3 linked regions of the Lonchura striata genome follow. The protein of the gene in region 2 purifies or fractionates together with the protein of the main gene of each other region. This does not show direct contact. Links are inferred from orthologs where the notes say so. Each region holds a gene or a part of one and is shown on either strand. Other genes may lie near its edges.

The links.
Region 1: the proteins of TNRC6C (region 2) and AGO2 purify together in Homo sapiens (co-immunoprecipitation; 6 studies listed by BioGRID and IntAct, with this or other methods). This does not show direct contact. The link is inferred for Lonchura striata from reciprocal best matches to the Homo sapiens genes TNRC6C and AGO2.
Region 3: the proteins of TNRC6C (region 2) and PAN2 purify together in Homo sapiens (affinity purification with western blotting; 3 studies listed by BioGRID and IntAct, with this or other methods). This does not show direct contact. The link is inferred for Lonchura striata from reciprocal best matches to the Homo sapiens genes TNRC6C and PAN2.

The regions. Positions count from the first base shown.
Region 1 is NC_134603.1:5,032,598-5,040,417, forward strand, and holds the start of AGO2 (protein argonaute-2), read left to right. Parts: upstream 1-4,789; 5' UTR 4,790-4,934; coding exon 4,935-4,965; intron 4,966-7,820.
Region 2 is NC_134621.1:3,508,885-3,516,029, forward strand, and holds the start of TNRC6C (trinucleotide repeat-containing gene 6C protein), read left to right. Parts: upstream 1-4,106; 5' UTR 4,107-5,259; intron 5,260-7,145. UniProt on the Homo sapiens protein: Plays a role in RNA-mediated gene silencing by micro-RNAs (miRNAs). Required for miRNA-dependent translational repression of complementary mRNAs by argonaute family proteins.
Region 3 is NC_134629.1:5,588,755-5,596,290, reverse strand, and holds the start of PAN2 (PAN2-PAN3 deadenylation complex catalytic subunit PAN2), read left to right. Parts: upstream 1-4,505; 5' UTR 4,506-4,507; coding exon 4,508-4,780; intron 4,781-7,027; coding exon 7,028-7,197; intron 7,198-7,536. Other genes in the region: IL23A (interleukin-23 subunit alpha), read right to left, coding at 597-785. UniProt on the Homo sapiens protein: Catalytic subunit of the poly(A)-nuclease (PAN) deadenylation complex, one of two cytoplasmic mRNA deadenylases involved in general and miRNA-mediated mRNA turnover.

The sequences.
Region 1 (7,820 bases), on a different chromosome or scaffold from region 2:
CTGTCTTCAGGATAAACAAAACAAGTAACTTGGCTGTGAAACTTCCCTGAGGTGGATATTTGACACTTGGGGGATGGATGGTGAGGAGCAGTGGCAGAGATCTCGCTGGATGTGCCTGTGCATTGCCAAGGAAGATGAAAACATCAGCAAGCTCTGTCATTATCATACAAAAAGCAGTCAGCCCTTAGCACCTCACCCTGAATTAGCTGTGTGAACACTACAGAGCTGATGCTGAGAGTTAGAACATGACCAAGGCCACTGGTGGTCATCAAAGTGGTCAGACTCAAGAGGTCTTTACCAAGGAGACTTGAAGTTGATTGTTCCTTTCTCTGTTCTTGTCCTTGCTACACTATTTGGTTGCTGCTCATAACCTTCCTGAGGTGATTCTTCTCTCCTCAAGCTGCCTCTGTCCCATTCTAAGGCTGCAGTTTCTCAGTGACCAAAGGCAAAGCGTGGCCACAGGGCCAGGGCAGTGATTGTCCCCCCGTAGTCAGCACTGGGGAGGCCACACCTCGAGTCCTGTGCTGAGATTCGGGTTCTTTACTACAGGAAGGACATTGGAACCTGTCTGGAGAAAAGGAACAAAGCTGGGGAGGGAAGGAGCTGCCTGACAGGAGGCTGAAGGTGGGGCTTGGTGTCTTCTGCCAGGTAATGATGATAGGATGAGAGGAAATTACTTCAAGTTGTGCTCAAGTTGTACTCAGGGAAGTTTAAATTCACTATTAAGAAAAATTTCTGCATGGAAAGGATGGTCAAGCATTGGAACAAGCTTCCCAGTGAAGGGATTGAGCCTTGGAGGTATTTAAAAGACATGTAGATGTGGCACTTAGGAACATGCTTTTTTTCCTGGTGAACAGTCTCAGGTACAGTATTTACTTCTTTTATCTTCTTTCTGGAAAGTCTTTTTTGTTCCTAGTTGGATTTTTTTGTTTTTTGGTTGAGGTGGGTTTTTTGTTGTTGTTGTTGTTGTTTTTGGTGGTTTTTTGTTTGTTTGTTTTTTCCACTGTAACAAGGTCATTACAATGAAGAACAAAACTCTGGTATTTCTTGAAACTGTAACAACCAGTGAGTGTAACACATCCCCAATAGGTGGTGCTGCATCTTTTCCATCAAGTTGAATTGTTGCATTGTTGGCCCTGATCAGCTGGAAAAAATTGTTTTTTTGAGTGAACTGAAGTTAGTAATCTAATGATAATTAGTTGTTTTGTTTTGGGTTTTTAAAATATAAATTATTATTGCAATTCATTTGACAAAATAAATGCAGTTTTGTAACTTGGTAGTTGGGAGAGTTATCTATAGAAAGACAAAAATCATGTTTTGGTCCCTCCACCATGGATTAATTGTGGTTTAATATCTAATTGTTAAAATAACAAACAGTTCCTGAGCAGGGGGCCAGAACCCTCAAAGTGTTTGTAAAATTTGAACACTTTAGTGCATAGAGCCATGAACTTCTTCACTTTGGCTCTGATTTTAAATTCTTATGTAAAGCAGAATGCAGAATATGTGCCAGGTCCAATGCATGTACTGCAGGATAACATCTTAAAAGTTAGGCTAGTTGAGAGATGACAAACAAGAGCTTAAATCCCTTCCAAGTCAAGAATAAAATTCACATCTTTCAGCTCTGAGTAAAAATTTTTGCTACTGTATCATTGCAAACAATGACTGTCAGACATTTATAAACTCTGGGGTTTTAAAATTAATTAAATTTAAAATGGGAATGGTTGTTACTTAGGTTATGTTTTCTCATAAAAAGAAAAGCTGTATCATTTGTCACTAGCCTATTTGTGTATAAAATATTTTCCCTAGATTGCTGCCACTGCTATAAATGATTTTTAAAATGCTGCTCCTAAATACCATCTTTGCTTCAGAATTATTAGTACATACTTTTTTCCAAAATTAATAATTTCTACTGTGACAGATATCAGTTCTGGGAAATGTCATCTTGAAATTCAGCAGTTAAGAAAGGTATTGTGCCCAGCAGTTACTAATTTTTTTTCTTTTGAAAAACCTAATTTTAAGTGTTTAAGAAGCTGTTCTTACACTACCGTATAATTGTTAATACAGCATATAAAGACCATGCTTAAAAAAATGCTGTTACAGAGCTTTCAAAACTCTCTTTCAGAACAAACCTTTTCAAGAACTGAAGCCTTTTTTCAGTGAAATGGCCCAGTAAGACATAATTAGGTTTCACTGTGCTCCAAAACAGCAGTTGTCAGTGACAGAAAGCATTGGAAATAAAGCAAGTGACATGGCCCAAAATGAGTGTGTGAACAAAGGTAATGCAGGTCTAACAGGCACAATAGTATGTCTAATATTAGAGAAAGTTATATTCCTAATCAGGTTGAAGAGATTGGTTTAAATATAGCATCAAAAAATTAGATGTTGATACAGAAACTGCATGTTTTCCTCCTGCCACTTCAGCAGAAAGGTCAAATGTGCCTCTTCTGGCTCTTGTTTTTGGGTATTTTTCCTCATCCACCCTCTTTTTCAGCCTCCAGTAAAGATATATATGAGAAATTATTGGTGGTTGTGAAAAAATGTTACCCAGCTCCTCCTAGGGAGGAAAACAGCAGCCCCTTTGCCAGCTCCTTTGTTTATCTTTTTCTTAGACCTGCTTGGCTTTACTTTAAAGTTGGCCCATAATTTTGTCCTTTATTTGTTTATAGTTACAGGTAAATCTTTACTTTCCAGCAATTTGAGAAGCCTGGAATGAAGACAAATCCAAAATCACTCCAGTGGAAACTCTAGTGGTGACAATGGTTTCAGGAGCAGTTCACTTGAAGTGAAAGCTGAGCTGTTCATTGCAGCCCTCGAATATCTGCAAGTATGACCCAAAGGGGAGAGTAAATACTTTGGAACAGTGAGATGCTTCTGTATCACTTGAAATATGAACTGATGAAGAAGGATATTAATTGGCATGATGAACACTACAAGCTGTATGTTTGCTTTGCTCTTTGGCAGATAATACTTGGCGAAGGAATTCAGTTGACTTTGACGGGGCTTGACTGTTCTGGGTTGAAAACTGCATACATTTTTTAAAGGCTTCCACATCAACATGGAGGAAGTGATTGAAAGTATGGATCACGGCTCTGCTGGAATTCTGTAGGTAACTCCAGTGGAAGTGAGCATCATTAACTTGCTTTTTGCCTCCTTAGCAGGTTTAACTTTATTTTTCCTGCTTTCTTTTGAATGGAAGAGGTACTAATTAGGTAACTACAAAAGGGTGACAGTTCCTGCAGGAATTGTCATCTCTGGTGTGAAATCATAGAATTGTTTAAGTTGGAAAATCCATTTAAGATCATCAAGTCCAACCACTAACCCAGCACTGGGAAGTCCATCACTAACCCATGTCCCCACATGCCACACCCATGTCTTTGAAATTCCCCCAGGGATATCTCCAGTGTCTCAGTGTATCATACTGATCAGCACTTTGGCTCTTTCATATCCTTTCTAGTTTGTTTTCTCAAGTACATTATCTGGTTGTACTAAACATTACATGTGTGCAGTACCAGACATTATCAGGTTGACAAAGACAATAAGGCAACCCCACCACAGCTGGGTTTCATAGATATGACTACAAGTGGATGTGGGAATCCATGAGGTTACTGAGCTGAGGTTTTCAGAGCAACAGGAGGAATAAAAGAATATAAACAAACACATCTAATTTTAATTCAAGATCCAGCAGTATGTGTACTATTGATACAACTCCAGCATACCTCTCACACTTGTAACAGGGAGAGGTATCGGAGAAAGTGCTAGAGGCACAAAGTCATTTTCCAAGGTCTCACTGAAAGCCACAGGATGACAGGACATAGTCTTAAACTGTGCCGGGGGAGGTTTAGGCTGGGCATTAAGAGGAGCTTCTCCACAGCAAGGGTGATTAAACATTGGAATGGGCTGCCCAGGGTGGTGGCGGAGTCACCATCCCTGGAAGTGTTTAAGGATAAAGAGTGGACATGGCACTCCGTGCTCTGGTCCGGTGGACGTGGTGATGTCCGGTCACAGGCTGGACTCGGTGATCTCCGAGAACTTTTCCAGCCTGGCTGATGCTGTGACTCCGCGGGCAGAGCTCGGGCGGGGACTGCAGGCGGGGACAGGGGGCTGCGGCGGGGACAGGGGGCTGCAGGCAGGGACAGGGGGCTGCGGCGGGGACAAGGGGCTGCAGCTGGGACAAGGGGCTGCAGGCAGGGACAGGGGGCTGCAGCGGGGAGAGGGGGCTGCAGCAGGGATAAGGGGCTGCAGGCAGGGACAGGGGCTGCAGGCAGGGACAGGGGCTGCAGGCAGGGACAGGGGCTGCAGGCAGGGACAGGGTGCCGCAGCGGGGAGCGGGGCTGCAGCTGGGACAAGGGGCTGCAGCGAGGAGAGGGGGCTGCAGGCAGGGACAGGGGGCTGCAGCTGGGATAAGGGGCTGCAGCTGGGACAAGGGGCTGCAGCTGGGATAAGGGGCTGCAGCTGGGACAAGGGGCTGCAGGCAGGGACAGGGGTCTGCAGCAGGGAGCGGGGCTGCAGCGGGGACAGGGTGCCGCAGCGGGGAGCGGGGCTGCAGGCAGGGACAGGGGGCCGCAGCGGGGAGCGGGGCCCCTCGGCTCGGCGCCGCTCCGATCCCGTCCCGCTGCCGCGGCCGTTCCCGCCCGCCCGGCCGGGGGGCGGAGCGCTCCTTCCCCGTGACCCGCGGCTCCTCCTCCTCCCCTCCCCGCTCCTCAGTGCCGACGAGTAACCTGGATTCCCGGCCCTCCTCCTCCTCCCTCTTTTTTTTTTTCTTTTTTTTTTTTTTTTTTTTTTTTTTTCCTCCTCTCCCCTTTTCTTTTCCTCCCCCCTCCCCTTCCTCCTCCTCCTCCCCTTCCCCCGACAGCGTAACCGGGGCTCGGGCTCGCTCCCTCCCCCGTGCCCTCCCCTGGAGCCGCCGCCGCCTCCGCCGCCGCACACACGGAGACATGTACCCGGGAGCCCCCTCCGCCGGACCCGGTGAGCTTTCGCCCGGGTTTGTTTCCCCCCGGAGCGGCTTTCCCGGTCCGTGTCCCTGGGGAGCCCCGGGAGCGCCTCGCTCCCCCCGGCTCGGGCCTGGCTGGAGCGGCGGCCGCGCTGGCCGGGGAGGAAGGAGGGTCAGGGCGCCGCCGCCGCCTCGGGCCGGGCCGCGTGTCCGGAGGCGCCTCTGAGGGGAGGGTCGCCTTCCCTGCCCCGCTCCCCCTCCCTCCGCCGGGCCCCGAGGCCGGAGCAGCTCCCGCTGCGGACCGGGGTCTCCATTTCCTCTCTCCCGGCTCCATGCTGGGATTCCCGGCTGGCCGCGTGTTCCTCGGAGGCCGCGCTGCGATAGTTGTGCTCTGGAGGTCGGGGAGCGTCCGCATGCCGGGAGGGCTGGGGGAGGCGAGGGGCAGCGTGAGGTGTCCTCAGGCTCGCTCTGCGTGGGAGCAAAGGAAAGGTGGACGTGCAAAGCAGGGTTAGCAACTCTCGGGGAGAGTTTAGTATCGCTTTGGGGAAATGCAGGTTAATACTGTGCGAGTTTGTGCAGTTCGTATGAGACAATGTTTTCTCCTTTTTAGTGTTAGGTTGTTTCTGCGGTGAGAATTCTTATGTAGAAACAATAGTGTTTGGGTGACTGGCACCTAGTTTTCTTGTAGAAAAGTTGCAGAATAAATGGAACTTTATTTTATCCCACTGTTCTCAATTGTTTTGCAAAACATTTCTTCCGTTAGAGGGATAATCTAGCAAGGACTGGTGTAGGGAAGTACAGGACCTGTAACTGAGATGTCTTTTAGTGTTTCTCTTACAGACGCTTTGGTAAAAGCATTTATATTTTGGGATCCACTGTTAGGTGCTGGCTTTTTTTTTTTTCTTTTTTTCCTCTGACTTGGTTCTCCTGAAGGGGCAATAATTAGGAAAGACAATCAGGATGATTATTTTCCTCTTGAAGTAGAGATCCTCCGTTTTTACTTTCTCACCGGGCACAGCAGGCAGACAGGTCTCTACAGCTCTGTGTCCCCAGACTGGTGTTCACGATCTTGCTTTCATGTGTAACATCAATTGCACATTTCACATTTCAGTACCGATAACTGTAGAACTACAGGTGTAATCCTTTGGTGGTTTCTGGTGTCGGGTTCCCTTGCTCAGGCACAGGTACACTTTCAGTTTACAGGTGCTCATGGTGCCTCAACATCGGGCTGATGCTATGTTCACCTCGTGGTGATCTTGTTTGAAAATGTGCTTAAGGAGACAGGTAATTAAAAATATTACCAGCACATGGGCTGAGAGTAGTTTCATGTGTGGGAGTCTCTTTATCTTTATTTACTCTCTATTCGATCCTACCACTTTCCCTTTCACTTGGAATGTTCTCCCAGCTGGTGGCTGCTGTTTGCCGTCAGGGATGCACGTTTGGTGTGAAGGAATGTTTTCACCTTCTTGGAACAACAACGTCTTAACCTCGGGCTGCTGACTCGGCTGTACTTTCACCAAGTTCTAGGTGGCTGTGGGTTGTCACCGGTGTGTGTCTCGGGCTCCTGCTGTTCTGCTGCCTCCAGCCGAGCTCATCTTGTGTCTTGTTTACTTCCGAGTTTATCAGCGTGGCTCAGCCCTTTCCCCGTGTCTGTGCCGGGGTGGGAGCTGCGAGTTGTTCTCCACATGGTGAGCGAGGCTCTGCTTCCTTCCTGTGAAATCATCCACGGACAGCCTCAGCAGCTCAGTGGCTTCTGGCAGCCCAGGCAGCTTCCTGCTCCACTCCACACACAAGGCAGGGCATCCTGGAGATTTTTATTAGAGCGTGGCTGTTCTGTGAACCAGCCTGGAAGCAGGGACTGTGAAGTCCCCTGCCACATGTTAATCTGAGAACTACAAACCCACTGTGTGTGAAATCCTGCTCGGAGGAGAGAGCACAAGTGTGGTTTACAACCCCTCACCGAGCCAGAGCTGCTGTGAACACAGCAGAGGGCTGCAGCCTCTCCAGGTCTGTCAGCACATCCTTGACACCAGGGAAAGGCTCCATTCATCTCTGCTCTGTCCGGATCCCCTGCCGGAGCCGCTGATGCGCAGGAGCGGCTTTGCTCTCCCAGCTCCCTGTCCAAACTGGGCTCTGCAGCGAGACCGTCGGAGGGTGCCTCTGGTGCTGGCCTCCTGCCAGAGGAACCGCTCAATTTGCCCCAGGGTTTGCTATTTTAGCCTTAATTATTTTCATGGAAACAAAATCAAGCAAGTTATGAGGCCATTTCTGACTGATTTCAAAACATTGCTGGTGAACGTGGAAAGTTTGCTCAAACGTGCTGTTGATGTCAGGAGTAAGGTTGGTTTTTGTGCACGAAGGGGTTGTCATGAAATCACTGTTTCCATAATTAGGAATTTAATGATCCCTTTTTGCTTGACTTGGTGTTGAATTTGCTGCGACACTGTGTCCATACCCTTTTTTATTAGCTCAAGAAAGTGTGAAAAGTAAAGAATCTGAAAATCTGACAAGAAATTATTTTTTGCAGAAAAATCTTGATACTGCTTTGATATTGTGGTGTACCTTTTCTTAGAAGGACAGAAAAATGTCAAAGTGGCATAAAGACTTGATTAAAAGCTGTATAAACTTCTGGAACCTGCACTTCTAAGTGTTAGTGTATTTATTAATTCTAAACTTTGCACACCACAGATTTTTATTCTTTGAAAGGATATTTGGTTTTGCCTGATGTTGAGGGTCTTAATGTATTGTTGAAGCAGCAATTGTCTGAAAAAGAGTGTGAAGTTGATTATAGCTTTGTGTGTGGAATACCAACGTTTTTTCCCTAGCACAAAAAACAACTTTATTAAATTAGTGGAACTAAAGTTATTTTCTTATCATTTAGTTGTAAGTT
Region 2 (7,145 bases):
GAGGGACTTTGTACAAATGGCTTGCACATTCATATTTTCCTTGGAAAACTTGAGAAGAGCCTGTGGTGTCCTGGATCCTGAGTGATCCTGCCCATCCAACCTCTGAGCATCACCTCAGGAAAGGGAGAGCCTTGGAGCTGTAGCTTCACTTTGTGTGGGCTCTGGGAAATCCTGTTCAGCATCAGAGACTGGATTCTCCTTAAGGAATGGGGTTGTTGTTTTTGTCACTGGAGCAGGGCTTTGACTTTAATTTTTTGTGTGCTTGTTATTGCTGGGTAAGAAGTGCAAGGAGTGCTTGGTGACAATTCTGTGCTTGGTTGGATGATACAAAACCAAGCAAGAGACATCTCTAAAATCTACGCTGGAGGAATATTTTGCCTGGGTGTGGTTGAGCCACCCAACACAGCCCTAAACGTGGGAAGACCTTTGCTTAGCTGGGCTTTGTCACTCTCAGCAGAGCAAACGCTGCATCTGTGTGAGTGCCTGGCTCTTTGTGCTCAAAGCCACCCACCTAACACACCCTGGGGACACTTTGGTCACAGCTTTTCCCTGACAGACTGGGTTAGTGGAGGTTTACGAGGCAGCACTGGAATTCCTCCTGCTCTGGGAGCACTCATGCGCTGGCATCATCTGTCCCTCTGCCTCCCCTTCACACCAGCTCACATCTGCTCTTACTCACATGTGACAAAAGCCACTACCTGAGCACTGGGGGCAGGAGAGCCTTCCAAGGCAGCAGCAGCTGCCTGGAGCCCTGGTTCTGTGCTGGAGCAGCTCTGGAAGAACACAGCTCAAGGAGAAGCCCGTGCCCTGCCAGGGTGCTGTCAGCTCAGGGCAATGAGGGGACAGATGCACCATGCGTGGTGACAGCAGCCACCAGCTGCTGACACCAGGTGACAGAGCCTCAGATGATGCTGAGGATCTGTGCGAGCCCCCAAGGAGAACAACCAGGGGAGTGGGAGGGCAAAACCCCAGTGGGAGACCAAAGCAGGGGGAAAAATAAAAATTACATTGGATAAAGCCCTGTGTTCAATGGTAAAAAAGCTCAGGTAAGACAGGAAAAGTTTAGTAGAATGTGTTTTTATCTGTTAAAGACAGTATTTTGGGACAGGGGTGACAAACACAACAGGCTTTCTGTGTCTGTGGGGCTGTGGTTATAGCATGCTTTTGATAGTAATTTCTCCAGGGCCAAGAAAAGAGATTAGTACACAAATCACTTTCAGTTTTATTCCATTTTGACATTTCAGGGTCTCCAGCAACTTGGCACCACTCTGCAAAGCCAGAAATATTTGTGTGGCAAAAATGTGTTTTGAATTACAAATATTTCAACGTTCACAACATGTAACATAGGAGACCAGGAACATTCCTTGGCACAATTGCCAAGCAGAGGTTTTGGTGCAGGGCAGCCTCCTGTAGGTGCTTGTAGTGCCATAAGCATGGCATGTGGCTTCTTCTGTTCTGCTTCTTGGAGTGGCTGGCTGATCAGGAGAGCAAAAAATCTCCTTGGAAAGCAGCAGTGGAAAATCCCCTTGGAAAGCTGCTGCAGCTCCGGGGTGGGTTTGGAAGGAGTCTATAGGTGCTGACCTACATTTAAGTAAGGAGAGTGAGGGGAAGCTCAGCTGGCCCTTGGGATGACACAAGGGCATTTTCCCTCCAAGCCAGGTCTGTCACCATCCTGGCGTATGAATTCATTCCCGGTGAAAGGTGCCAGACTGACATTCAAAATATGGGGAAAAAAAAAAAAAAAAAAAAAAAGAGCCTTCTTCTTAATAATTCTTTCTCTTCTTTGTGCTGATGAAATACAATGGGACATTTAAATCTGATTTTTATAACATTTTGCATTGCTATAGATCATGGTCTGACCTGGAGAAGACACTTTGTTCTGACTACAATGATCTGATATTTCATATTTTAGTGGCTTTTTTTTTCTTTTTTTTTTTTGTCTTCCCCACAGTATTTCTGTTGCATTCTGGCACAATATGGGCTCCCTCCAGTGGTCAAGGGGCTCCGGGCTCCTGGTGTCGTTTGCCCAGAGGCTGGCACAGGGTGGCTTTGGGGCTGGCATCACAAATTCCAGCGGGAATCGTACCGGGACCGTGCTTCTGTCCCCTCGAATGCCCCGCTGCGGGTGCCAGTCCCCGGCAGCATCACCAGCCCTGCCCGGTGAGCCCTGCTCCGCTCAGATTTCAGCGGAACAGCCCCAGCGGATAAAAATCCACGCTCTGGATTTCCTTGCACTTCCCAAAACGTTCGCTGCAGAAGTGGGGAGAGGAAACAGGAGAGGAGAGAAAACCGGAGATCTGCTGGAAAGACCCAGACACAACAATTTTTAGCAAAGAAAAAAAAAAAGACTAATTTTTTGCATTCCGCTCTTCCCGCGGTATTTTGAGACCAGCTCCTGACTTTCTCCTGACAGAAGCAGCTAATGTGGTTGTTGTGGGGGACAAGCCAGCCGCTGCCACTCTGAAATGTGACATTTCCATCTCCCCTCCCCGACCTGCGCAGCTCCCCGGGCTTGCTCAGCCACGGGCGCGTTTCAAACACCGGGATTGTTTTTGGAGGCGCCTGGGTAGAACGGGGATCCCCTCCGAGGGCCGAGAGCCCTGCATGGGTACCCCGGGAGTGTCACCCAGGGGTGTCCCTGCAGGTGTGCGCTCACAGCTGGCACAAAGAGGGGGGCTCCCGGCAGCTCGGGGTGCAGCAGGAATGTGTTTAACCCCCTTTTCCACCGCTGTGTGTGTGAGAAAGCACTGATGCCGTTTCCCGGGTGGGGATGACATCCCTGTACCCCTTTGATTTGACACCCACGGGTGGGGGTGACCTCCCTGTACCCCTTTGATTTGACACCCACTTTCCTGTATGGGGGGTGTCCCCCCCGTACCCCTTTGATTTGACATCCACTTTCCTGTATGGGGGGTGTCCCCCCCGTACCCCTTTGATTTGACATCCACTTTCCTGTATGGGGGGTGTCCCCCCCGTACCCCTTTGATTTGACACCCACTTTCCCGGGTGTGGGTGACCCCCGCTGTACCCCTTTGATTTGACACCCACGGGTGGTGGTGACATCACTGTACCCCTTTGACCCCCACTTTCCCGGGTGTGGGTCCCCCCGTACCCCTTTGATTTGACACCCACTTTCCCGGGTGTGGGTGACCCCCGCTGTACCCCTTTGATTTGACACCCACGGGTGAGGGTGACATCCCTGTACCCCATTGATTTGATCTCCCCGTACCCCTTTGATTTGACACCCACGGGTGGGGGTGACATCTCTGTACCCCTTTGACCCCCACTTTCCCGGGTGAGAGTGACCCTCCCTGCACCCCTTTGATTTGACACCCCCTGTACCCCTGTTATTTGACCCCCACTTTCCCGTGTGGGGGTCCCCCCGTACCCCTTTGATTTGACACCCACGGGTGGGGGTGACCCCCGTGTACCCCTTTGATTTTCCCCCCCGTACCCTTTGATTTGACCCCCATTTTCCCGTGTGGGGGTCCCCCTTTGATTTTTTTTTGGGGGGGAGGACCGAGCTCTCCGCCCCCTCCCCCCGCGGGGCGCGGGCTGGGCGCGCGGCGGTGGCGGGAGGGCGCGCGCCTCGGCGCGGAGGGAGGCGGTGGGGGGCGTGGCCCGCGGCGCGCGCGCGCGCTCATTTGCATAGGCGTCGGCCTCGCCGCCCGTTTGGCCGCGGCCGGCGCGCTCATTTGCATCCGCGTCACGTGGGGCGGAGGGCCGGGCCGGGGGCGGGGCCGGGGGCGGGGCGGGGGGGGCAGCGCGCGCCAGCTGCCGTTGGCGGCCGGCGCGGGAAGGGGGCGCGCGCGCGCGGAGCCGCCCCGCGGTCTCGCGCTGCCTGGCGGGGCTCTGTCAGTCAGCGACAAAATGGCCGCGGCGGCGGCAGCAGCAGCGGCGGCGGCAGCGGCGGCTCCTCGCCTCCCCAGGGCGGCACCGGCGGCGCGGAGGAGCGGGGGATCGTCCCGGCAGCACTGAGCCCGGCACCCGCCTGCCCTTTGCGAGGCGAGAGCGAGCGGGAGAGAGAGAGAGAGAGACGGCGAGCGGCGCTGCGTTCCCCCCCCACCACCCCCTCCCCCTTCTGCATCCCGGCGGACCGACCGAGCCTGCCCGAGGCGCTGCTGCGGCTCCCCGGGGACACGCCGCCCCGCTGCCCAGCCGGATCCCTGCGGAGGACACGGAGAGAGCCGCGGCATCGCCCCCCTCCCGCCTGCCCGCGGAGCCCGCTGCGAGTCCCCGCTCCCTCCTCCCTCCGTGAAAAGACTTTGCTGGATCCTCCTCCCCGGGTCCCCCCTCCCCGCGCTCGCCGCTTCCTGCGGGAGCGGCTGCTGGATCCTCCTCCCGGCCCGGATCGCCCGCGGGGTCCCTGCGGAGCCGCGGACCCTCCTCCCCCGGCGGGGACAGCGCTGGATCCTCCTCCTGCCCGCAGCCCCATGCCAGGCTCCGCATCCCCCCGTGCCTCCCGCCCTGCTCTTTGAGGCTTTTTGCTTTTTTTTTTTTTCCACCACCACCACCCTCCTCCTTTTATTTTGAAGGGGGGATCCATCTTAAAACTCTTTTTCTGGATCCCGGTTTCTCTTTTTTTGATTTGCACTTTTTGAAAAACCCTCAGATGCTCCTCCATGTGGACTGAGAACCCATCAAGACACACACACCAGAACTCATCCCGATCAACTCCAAATCCTGGCTTTCCGTGGGTTTTGCTGCAACACATGAAAGCAAACTTGTATTTAAGACACACTCGTGCAGAAATTTAGCTGGGGACTTGAACGTGTATTTTGTCTTGGTTTCTTGGTCTTGGTTATTTTTTGTTGTTTTTTCTTATTTTTTTATTTTGCTTCACTGGAAATCAAAAGCTTGTTTTGGAATTGGACCTGCTTTTGCTGCACTTCTCCTCTGGGCTGGATAACACTGAAGCTCCTTGCTTTTCTACTTGGATAGTGTTTTCCTGTTGATCTGCTGGGGTTTTTTTTTCATCTCCTGTGTGGCAGACTTTTTTTTTTTCCCTGAGGGGGGTAAACAAACGACGACAACAACAAAAAACTTATTTTTTTTGGCCGTGTGAGATTTTTTTCGTATTCATATTCGTGAAATTACGGGTACATTTACAAAAAATTAAAAAAAAAAAGAGAAGCATTAAAGATAAGAAAGGAACACGTCAGAAAGACCCCTACACGGTAGACAAAATACTCACTTGTTTCCTTACAGCAAGACTGAATCGAAAGCTGCCAAAGAGCCCCATAAAGAAAAGACTAAAAGGTAAGAACGGGTAAGAGCCTTTCTTAATCTGGGCACGATAGAAGTTAGCAGGGGAAGAGACCTGCAAAACCTGTGCATTCCTCCTTTTTCACAAATCTAAACTAGATTATTATTATTATTTTTAAATTGTTTATTAGTCAGCGAAGCAAGGAACACCCCCAAACATTTCAAAATCCCTTTTATTTTTATACGATTTTTAAAAAAACGCGAACAACCTCCGGATTTTTTTTTAATGGTAGAATTAATTCGGTATTTTTCCTCTGTCCGGAATCGCTGTTTGGCCACGAAGAGCGAGCAGAAAGTGCCATTTGTGAGCATGTTGTGCCATTCAGACATGACACGAAGGCAGCTTCTGCTGCAAGGCACGACCGTGTGCTCTTGCTTTTTAGAACTTACACGTGTGAAAATTATCGCAGAGCGGCTTGGAAATGATCCCAGGGCTGGGAAATTGTGGGCATGGCCAGCAGTGCTGCCCTGTGGGCGAGCACATGAGCTCCAGCTTTGTCCTTCATGGCTGCTTTCTCTTAAAAAGTTAAAATGTTCAGCTTTGGTTTATTTTTCCTCTTTTCCCCCTCCGCCTAATGAGATTGTGAGGATCCGCAGTCATTTTCTCCTGAGTATCCACAGAGAGATCTTCGTCTAAACCTGGAATGTCCAGGGGGAGAGAGAATATTAAACTGAGTTTATTCCTTTAACTGCGACGCAGGAGGGGAGGAAAATGGGAAGGGCTCAGTTGTTAACCTGAGAAATCTTGAAACGCTGGAAGTTTATTAATTGTTCGAGGCTTCTTTGTTTGTATCACAAGTTTGTGTCAAAGGTTAATCTTCTTAATATGTAATTAGTTGAAGGTTCAATTATGGGATTTATTGAACTCAATTGGGTTTCCCCCCTCTTTTCCCATTAAAAATAATACTGCAGGTCTTTGTGACTAGTTTATTTTCTGCTACAACTCGAGTGTATCTGCGAGAAGAGATTTATTCAATTATTCTAACAGCCAGTTTAAATTTAGAAATAATCTTTGGGACGTCATACCCGTGTCTGTTGCATATTTTCCCTTCTCGTTTGCATATGTATGTATCTGGCGAATTATGCTAATTTATGTACAGAAATTTGCTGTGGACATTAGGCCGGTTAAGGTAATTAAAATTCCAATAAATCCCGCTGTTAGTGGTGCAGAGCTTTAAATCAGGTGGGTGTCGGTGGTGCTGTGGACCTGAGGACAATGCCAGAGCGGAGGACCAGGAGAACATCTGCACTGCTGCTGGATGCGCTGGGAGAGCCAGGCATGGCTTCCAAATCCTGCCCTCCTTCCCGGCGGTGGGTGGGGTTTTTTGGGCTTTTTTTTGGGTTTTTTTTTTTCCTTTGGATTCCCCGACGACTGAGCATTTAAAAGGAGTTTCCTCTCGGATATTACATTTTTTAAAAATAATAATTTCGAGAAGGCAGTGGGAAGGTACACACGGGTTCTCACTGCTTCCCCTGGTGTTTTCCAAGGAAATAGGAGGTGACTTGCAGTGGGTGCAACCTGTGCTTAGCATATCACGGAATTTCCTTGCTGCAGCCCTGTTCCTGGGGTTCAGGAATCCCTGGGATGTCTGCCTGCCTGCTCCTGTGTGTTATTTGTGAGCTCAAAATGGTGTGCTGAGCAACAGCCCCCGGATGCTGTGGCTTCTGGAATTCTTTCCAGACGTGAAAACATCAGTGTCAGCCCTGGATACCCCAGTGAGGAAGCTGCTCTGGGGAGCACTGTGGTGCTTTTTGGCTGGGATTGCAGAAGCCTTGCTGGTGGATAACCTAACCTGGCTGCTTCCGAGCCCGAGACTCGCAGTCTGTGGGAAAAAAAAAAAAAGCTATAGTAAATCAGATTAATTTGAACTTTTTTTAGG
Region 3 (7,536 bases), on a different chromosome or scaffold from region 2:
CCCGGTGCCACCCCCGCCGCGATGCTGCTGCACCCTCCCGGTGCTTCCCGAGCCCCCCCGGTGCCCCCGGCAGAGATCCCGGTGCTTCCCGAGCCCCCCGGTCCTTCCCGAGCCCCTCGGTGAATCCCGAGCCCCCCGGTGGAGCCCCCAGCAGAGATCCCGGTGCTTCCCGAGACCCCGGTGCTTCCCGAGCCCCTCGCTGTCCACCGAGCTCCTGGTGCCCCGACCGAGCCCCCCGGTGAATCCCGAGCCCCCCGGTGCTTCCCAAGCCCCCGGTGCCCCCGGCTGAACCCCCCGGTGCTTCCCGAACCCCTCGCTCCCCACCGAGCTCCTGGTGCCCCGGCAGAGCCCTCCGGTGCTCCTCGTGCCGCCGGTGCCCCCGCCGAGCCTCCCGGTGCTTCCGAGCCCCCCCGGTGTCCCCGCCGGGTCCCCCGGTGCTCCCCAAGCCCCCGGTGCCCCTGGCAGAGCCCCCGGTGCTTCCCGAGCCCCCCGGTATCCCCGCCGGGCCCCCCGGTGCTCCCCAAGCCCCCGGTGAATCTCAAGCCCCCGGTGCTCCCCAAGCCCCCGGTGCCCCCGCCGAGCCCCGCCGCTCTCACCAGCACCGGGTGCGGCTCTCGGACCGTCCCCAGCAGCCGCGCCAGCTCCCGGGACAGGACCCGGCAGGCGGCCCAGTCCGGGCGGCGGAGCGGGGCCGGCGCCGGTGCCGGTGCCGGTGCCGGTGCCGCGGGAGGCGGCGGCAGCAGAGCGAGGAGCAGCCAGAGGCGGAGGCGGCGGAGCGGAGCCATCCGAGCTCGTTCTGTGCCGCCACCGGCGCCGCCACCGGGCTCTTATGGGGCGGCGGCAGGTGGGGAATCCCGGGGCAGGTGGCTCCCGCCCCTCGCCGCCGCCGCCGCCCCTCGAAAGCAGAACCGATACCGGGCCGGGGTCCCCACGCTGCGCCCCGCCGCACCGGGACGGGCAGGAAAACCCGGGGCAGTTCCTGGCGGGATGGGAGCCACCGGCACCGGTATCGCCACCGGCACCGGTATCGCCACCGGCACCGGCGGCGGGGACGTCCCCTCGCTGCACCTGGGCTGCCCCGGCGGGCGCACCGGGAGCCCGGCGGCGTCCGGGCGGCGTCCCGGCGGTGTCCCCGCGGTGTCCCCGCGGTGTCCCCGCGGTGCCGAGCCGGACCGTGCCGTGCCGTGCCGCAATCCCGGCGGTCCCGCCGGGGCGGCTCCGGCGCTTCCCGCTCCGCCCGCCGGGGCTGCCCCCGGCTTTCCCCGGCACCGGGCGCGCCGCGGGCACCGGGGCCGGGCCGGGGACGCTGCCGGGAGCTCGGGACACTCGGGGACCTCGCGGGGACACCGAGGGAACACGGGGGGTGATGGGGGACACCGGGGACGGGGTGGGACGGGGGGGACACCGGGGGACACCGGCGGACACTGAGGGACACCGGGGGACACTGAGAGACCCCACGGGACACTGAGGGACACCGGGGGACATTTGGGACACTGAGGCACCCTCCGGGACACCGGGGGACACTGGGGGACACTGAGGGACACTTGGGACACTGGGGGACATTTGGGACACCGGGGGACATTTGGGACACTGAGAGACCCCACGGGACACTAAGGGACACCGGGGGACATTTGGGACATTTGGGACATTGAGGGACACCAGAGGGACACCGGGGGACACTGAGGGACATTTGGGACACTGGGGGACACTGAGGGACATTCAGGACACTGGGGGACACCAGGGGACACTGGGGGGGACTTGGGGACACTTTGGGACCCCGTGGGGTGCCAAGGACACGCTGGGACCTCGTCGGGCACCGTGGGAGCCCGTGGGGTGGCAGAGGACACCGGGGGACACCGTGGGGTGCCAGGGGACATCTGGGGACACTTTGGGGTGCTGGGGGGTGCCAGGGGACCCCAGGGGACACCGGGGGACCCCAGGGGACAGTGGGGGACACTGAAGGGCAGCTGGGGACACTGTGGGGACCCCACGGGGTTCCCGGGACACTGTGGACCCCCGTGTGACATCGTGGGACCCCCGTGGGACCCCGTGGGACATCGTGGAACCCCCGTGGGACTCCGTGGGACACGGTGAGACCCCGTGGGACGCCCCGGGCTGCTCCGTGACACACCGTAAGCTCTCGTGGGTGACCGGGCACGCTGCGTGACACCCGTGGCACCCCAGAAGCCGCAGCCGGGGGTCCGGGAGCGCCCGGTGGGTCCGGGAGGTTCCCGGGGGTCCGGGAGGCGCCCGGGGGTCCGGGAAGCGCCCGGTGGATCCGGGAGGCTCCCGGGGGTCCGGGAGGTTCCCGGGGTTCTGGAGGCTCCCGGGGGTCCGGGAGGTTCCCGGGGGTTCTGGAGGCTCCCGGGAGTTCTGGAGGCTCCCGGTAGCCCGGGAGGCTCCCGGTGGTCCGGGAGGTCCCCGGGGGTCTGGGAGGCTCCCGGGGCTCCGGGAGGCTCCCGGGGGTTCTGGAGGCTCCCGGGGGTTCTGGAGCGCCCGGTGGTCCGGGAGGCTCCCGGTGGTCCGGGAGGTTCCCGGGGGTCTGGGAGGTTCCCGGGGGTCTGGGAGGCTCCCGGGGCTCCGGGAGGCTCCCGGGGGTTCTGGAGGCTCCCGGGGGTCCGGGAGGCTCCCGGGGGTCCCGGGACTCCCCCGGTGCTCCCCACCGCGGTCCCGCCGCCCGCCTCCTTTTTGTCCCGAGCGCCGCCCCGTCGCCCCGCTCCGCTTAGCCCCGCCTCCCCCGGGCGCTGATTGGTCGGTTCCCGGCGCTCGGCGCTGCCATTGGTCGGTGTCCCGGGGCGGCCCGGTGCACCGGGCAGGGGCGCGGTTGCCGTAGCGACGGCGGGAGCGGCTCCGGGCGCGGCCCGGCCGCGGCGGCGGCGCAGCGGGACGAGCCCGGCAGCGCGGCCCCGGCGCGGCGGTGCCCGCGGCGGCTCGGTAAGGGCGCGGCGGCGGCTCCGGGCTCGGGGAGCGCGGCCGCTCGGGCCGGGCCCCGCCCGGCACTGCGGCCGCTGATAGCGCCGCTCCCGCCGGCGCGATCGCTGTGGGCCCGCCGTGATAAAGGCGGCGGGTGCGGAGCTGGCTCGGAGCACCGGGGGTGGGACGGGGCGGGGCCCGGTTTGGCTGCCTGGGGCTTTGGGACACTGCCCGGTTCTCGGGGGCCGCTCCCCGGTGCCCCGGGACACTGCCCGGTGCCCCGGGACACTGCCCGGTACTCGGGGATCTGCCGTTCCTATCCTGTCACCGGTTCCAGGAGCTCCGGGGGTCCCGGGCACCCCCTGGGGTCCCAAAGTGTCCCCCACTGTCCCCTGGGGTCCCCCGGTGTCCCCTGGGGTCCCCTGGCACCCCCCAGCACCCCAAAGTGTCCCCAGATGTCCCCTGGCACCCCACGGTGTCCCCCGGTGTCCTCTGCCACCCCACGGACTCCCACGGTGCCCGACGAGGTCCCAGCGTGTCCTTGGCACCCCACGGGGTCCCAAAGTGTCCCCAAGTCCCCCCCAGTGTCCCCTGGTGTCCCCCAGTGTCCCAAATGTCCCCCAGTGTCCCAAGTGTCCCTCAGTGTCCCCCAGTGTCCCCCGGTGTCCCCAGGTGTCCCTCAGTGTCCCCTGGTGTCCCCCAGTGTCCCAAATGTCCCTCAGTGTCCCCCAGTGTCCCAAATGTCCCTCAGTGTCCCTCAGTGTCCCAAATGTCTCTCAGTGTCCCATGGGGGTCCCTCAGTGTCCCTCAATGTCCCATGGGGTCCCTCAATGTCCCAAATGTCCCTCAGTGTCCCTCAGTGTATCTCAGTGTCCCTCAGTGTCCGTGGTGTCCCTCAGTGTCCCTCAGTGTCCCTCAGTGTCCCAAATGTCTCTCAGTGTCCCCAGATGTCCCGCAGTGTCCCTGAGGGCCCCTCAATGTCCCAAATATTCCTCAGTGTCCCTCAGTGTATCTCAGTGTCCCTCAGTGTCCCTCAGTGTCCCTCAGTGTATCTCAGTGTCCCTCAGTGTCCCTCAGTGTCCCAAATGTCCCTCAGTGTCCGTGGTGTCCCTCAGTGTCCCTCAGTGTATCTCAGTGTCCCATGGGGTTCCTCAGTGTCCCCTGTTGTCCCTCAGTGTCCCTCAGTGTCCCAAATGTCCCTCAGTGTCCCTCAGTGTATCTCAGTGTCCCATGGGGTTCCTCAGTGTCCCCTGTTGTCCCTCAGTGTCCCTCAGTGTCCCAAATGTCCCTCAGTGTCCCTCAGTGTATCTCAGTGTCCCATGGGGTTCCTCAGTGTCCCCTGTTGTCCCTCAGTGTCCCTCAGTGTCCCAAATGTCCCTCAGTGTCCCTCAGTGTATCTCAGTGTCCCATGGGGTTCCTCAGTGTCCCCTGTTGTCCCTCAGTGTCCCTCAGTATCCCAAATGTCCCTCAGTGTATCTCAGTGTCCCTCAGTGTCCCAAATGTCCCTCAGTGTCCCTCAGTGTCCCCAGGTGTCCCCAGGTGTCCCTGAGCCTCCTCCCCGGTCCCTGTCCCCCCTCCAGGGCCGGGATCCACCATGAACTTCGAGGGGCTGACCCCGTCGCTGGCCGAGTTCGCGGCCCCGCTGCACCCGGCGCTGGAGCCGGTGCTGGACCCTCACCTGCCCCCCAGCCTGGTGGAGCTGGACCCCGAGGGGGTGGCCCTGGAGGGGCTCCCGGTGCCCGACCCCGTGCACCTGCTGGAGGGCATGTACAGCGAGCTGCACACGGCCGTCTCCGAGGTCGGCGTGCCCGCCGCCGTCGCCCACTTCGACCTGCACGAGGAGATGCTGTGGGTCGGCAACCACGGCGTACGTGGCGAGGGGCTGGGAGGCTCCGCAGAGGGGCTGGCGAGGGGGTGGGACGTTCTGGAGAGGTTTTGGGGAGGTTTTCGGAGGTTTTGAGGAGGTTTTGGGATGTTCTGGGAAGGTTTTGGGATGTTCTGGAGAGGTTTTCGGAGGTTTTGAGGAGGTTTTGGGATGTTCTGGGAAGGTTTTGGGATGTTCTGGAGAGGTTTTCGGAGGTTTTGAGGAGGTTTTGGGATGTTCTGGAGAGGTTTTGAGGAGGTTTTGGGATGTTCTGGAGAGGTTTTGAGAAGGTTTTGGAAGGTTTTGAGAAGGTTTTGGGAGGTTTTGAGAAGGTTTTGGGAGGTTCTGGAGAGGTTTTGAGAAGGTTTTGGGATGTTCTTGAGAGGTTTTGGGATGTTCTGGAGAGGTTCTGGGAAGGTTTTGGGAGGTTCTGGAGAGGTTCTGGGAAGGTTTTGGGAGGTTTTGAGGAGGTTTTGGGATGTTCTGGAGAGGTTTTGGGAGGTTTCGAGAAGGTTTTGGGAGGTTTCAAGAAGGTTTTGGGATGTTCCGGAGAGGTTTTGGGAGGTTCTGGAGAGATTCTGGGATGGTTTTGGGGAGGTTTTGGGAGGTTTCAAGGAGGTTTTGAGAGGTTCTGGGAAGGTTTTGGGAAGGTCTGGAGAGGTTTTGGGAAGGTTTTGGGAGGTTTTGAGAGGTTTTGGGAGGGTTTTGGGATGTTCTGGAGAGGTTCTGGGAAGGTTTTGGGAGGTTCTGGAGAGGTTCTGGGAAGCTCTGGGGGGATTTTGGGAAGCTCTGGGAATGTTTTGGGGTTTGGTGGAGTTGTGGGATGGAAAAGGAGAGGAAAACTCACCCGGTGACGCCTGGAGAGGTTCCCTAGAACAGAGACTAGCCAGAGTTGAAGGATAAATCAAATTATTTATTAAAAAGCCTTCAAAGGTGCACCTCGGGCAGTGCAGGAGCTCGCAGAGCCCCACCCAGGTGGGATGAAAACCCACAAGATTTTCAGCCAGATAAAAGTTTGCTCTATTTGCATATCAGAGTTTAATTGTCCAATTCCACCTGCAGGTAATTCAATCACATTCCCCCAGTTTGCTCCCCCCAATTCACTTTTTGTTTGCATTTTTCAGGGCCTGAGACAGTCAGGTGTCCTTGGGTTTCAGGCCTAGAGAGGAGCTGTTTTGTCTGAATAAAAAAGCAGCTGACAGGCTGTGGAGTTTTCGAGTTAACACCCTAAAGCAGTCACAGATCTGGAAAATAAAAAACTCAAATTTAAATTTGAGTTAAAATTCAAACTTAACATCACCTGTTCCACCACCCTGCCATGGCCTCCCACCGGTCCAGCCTGGCCTCGGACACTTCCAAGGATTGGGAATCCTCTGGGAAATCCATTCCAGCACCTCAGAAGGAGGGGTTTAATCCCAAAATCCTGTCTAACCCCACCCTGTGTCACTGTGGAGCCGTTGTCCCCTGTCCTGGTGCTCCTTGCTGATGTCCCAAGTCCATCTCCAGCTCTCTTGGAGCCCCTTCAGCCACTGGAAGGACTCCAAGGTCTCCACACTCATCCCATTCCTCGTCCTTCCACTACCCCAGGGTGCTCCCAGCCGTGTCCAACCTGGCCCTGGACACTTCCACAGCAACCACAGCTTCTCTGGGAGATTCCAGCACCTCACCATCCTCCCAGGGAGGAATTTCACCCCTCCATCCCATCTAAATCTCCTCTTTTGGTTTCAAACCTTTCCCCTTGGATCTATCCTTGTAAATTCTCGGAGCACAAACCTCTCACTGCTTCCCCTGTCACTGCTGTGGGGTGGTGTTGGGATTTTTTATTTATCCAGGGAAAAGCCTGAGCTGCTTCCCCCAGTTTGGAGCACCCAGGAGTGCCAGGAATGCACCCATAACCTGGAAAATCCTAAGCCATAACCTGGAGTTATGGGGTTGTGGGAAAACCCCCATAACCTGGAAAATCCTGGATCTGATAGTGGAAAAAGTGATGCTCAGCTGTGTCACACCCACCAGGACATGGGGTTGTGACATCCCTGTCCCCTCTGCTTTCCGGGCAGAGAGGATGTGTTGGGATTTTTTATTTATCCAGGCAAAAGCCTGAGCTGCTTCCCCCAGTTTGGAGCACCCAGGAGTGCCAGGAATGCACCCATAACCTGGAAAATCTGGGATCTGGCAGAAGATGAAGCGAGGCACGGCTGTGTCACACCCACCAGGACATGGTTGTGACATCCCTGTCCCCTCTGCTTTCAGGGCCACGCCACCTCCTTCTTCGGGCCCACACTGGAGCGCTACTCCTCCTTCCAGGTGAACAGCAGCGACGACATCCGCCAGATCCAGAGCCTGGAGAATGGCGTCCTGTTCCTCACCAAAAGCAACCTCAAGTACCTGTCCCGGGGCGGCCTCATCATTTTCGACTACCTGTGAGTGCTCCCGGCCCCTCCCGCCCTTCCCTGATCCCTCCAGGGGCTGGGCAGGGTTTTGGGGGTCTCAAGGGTCTCTGGGGTGTCAGGGGTCCCTGGGGTCTCAGGAGTCTCAGGGTCTCAGGGGTTTCAGGGGTGTCAGGCCTGTCAGAGTCTCAGGGGTCCCTGGGGTCTCAGGGGTCTCAGGGGTCCCTGGGGTGTCAGGGGTCTCAGAGGTCCCTAGGGTCTTGGGAGTCTCAGGGGTCCCTGGGGTGTCAAGGCTGTCAGATTCTCAGGGGTCTCTGGGGTGTCAGGGCTGTCAGATTCTCAGGGGTCCCTGGGGTCTCAGGGGTCTCTGGG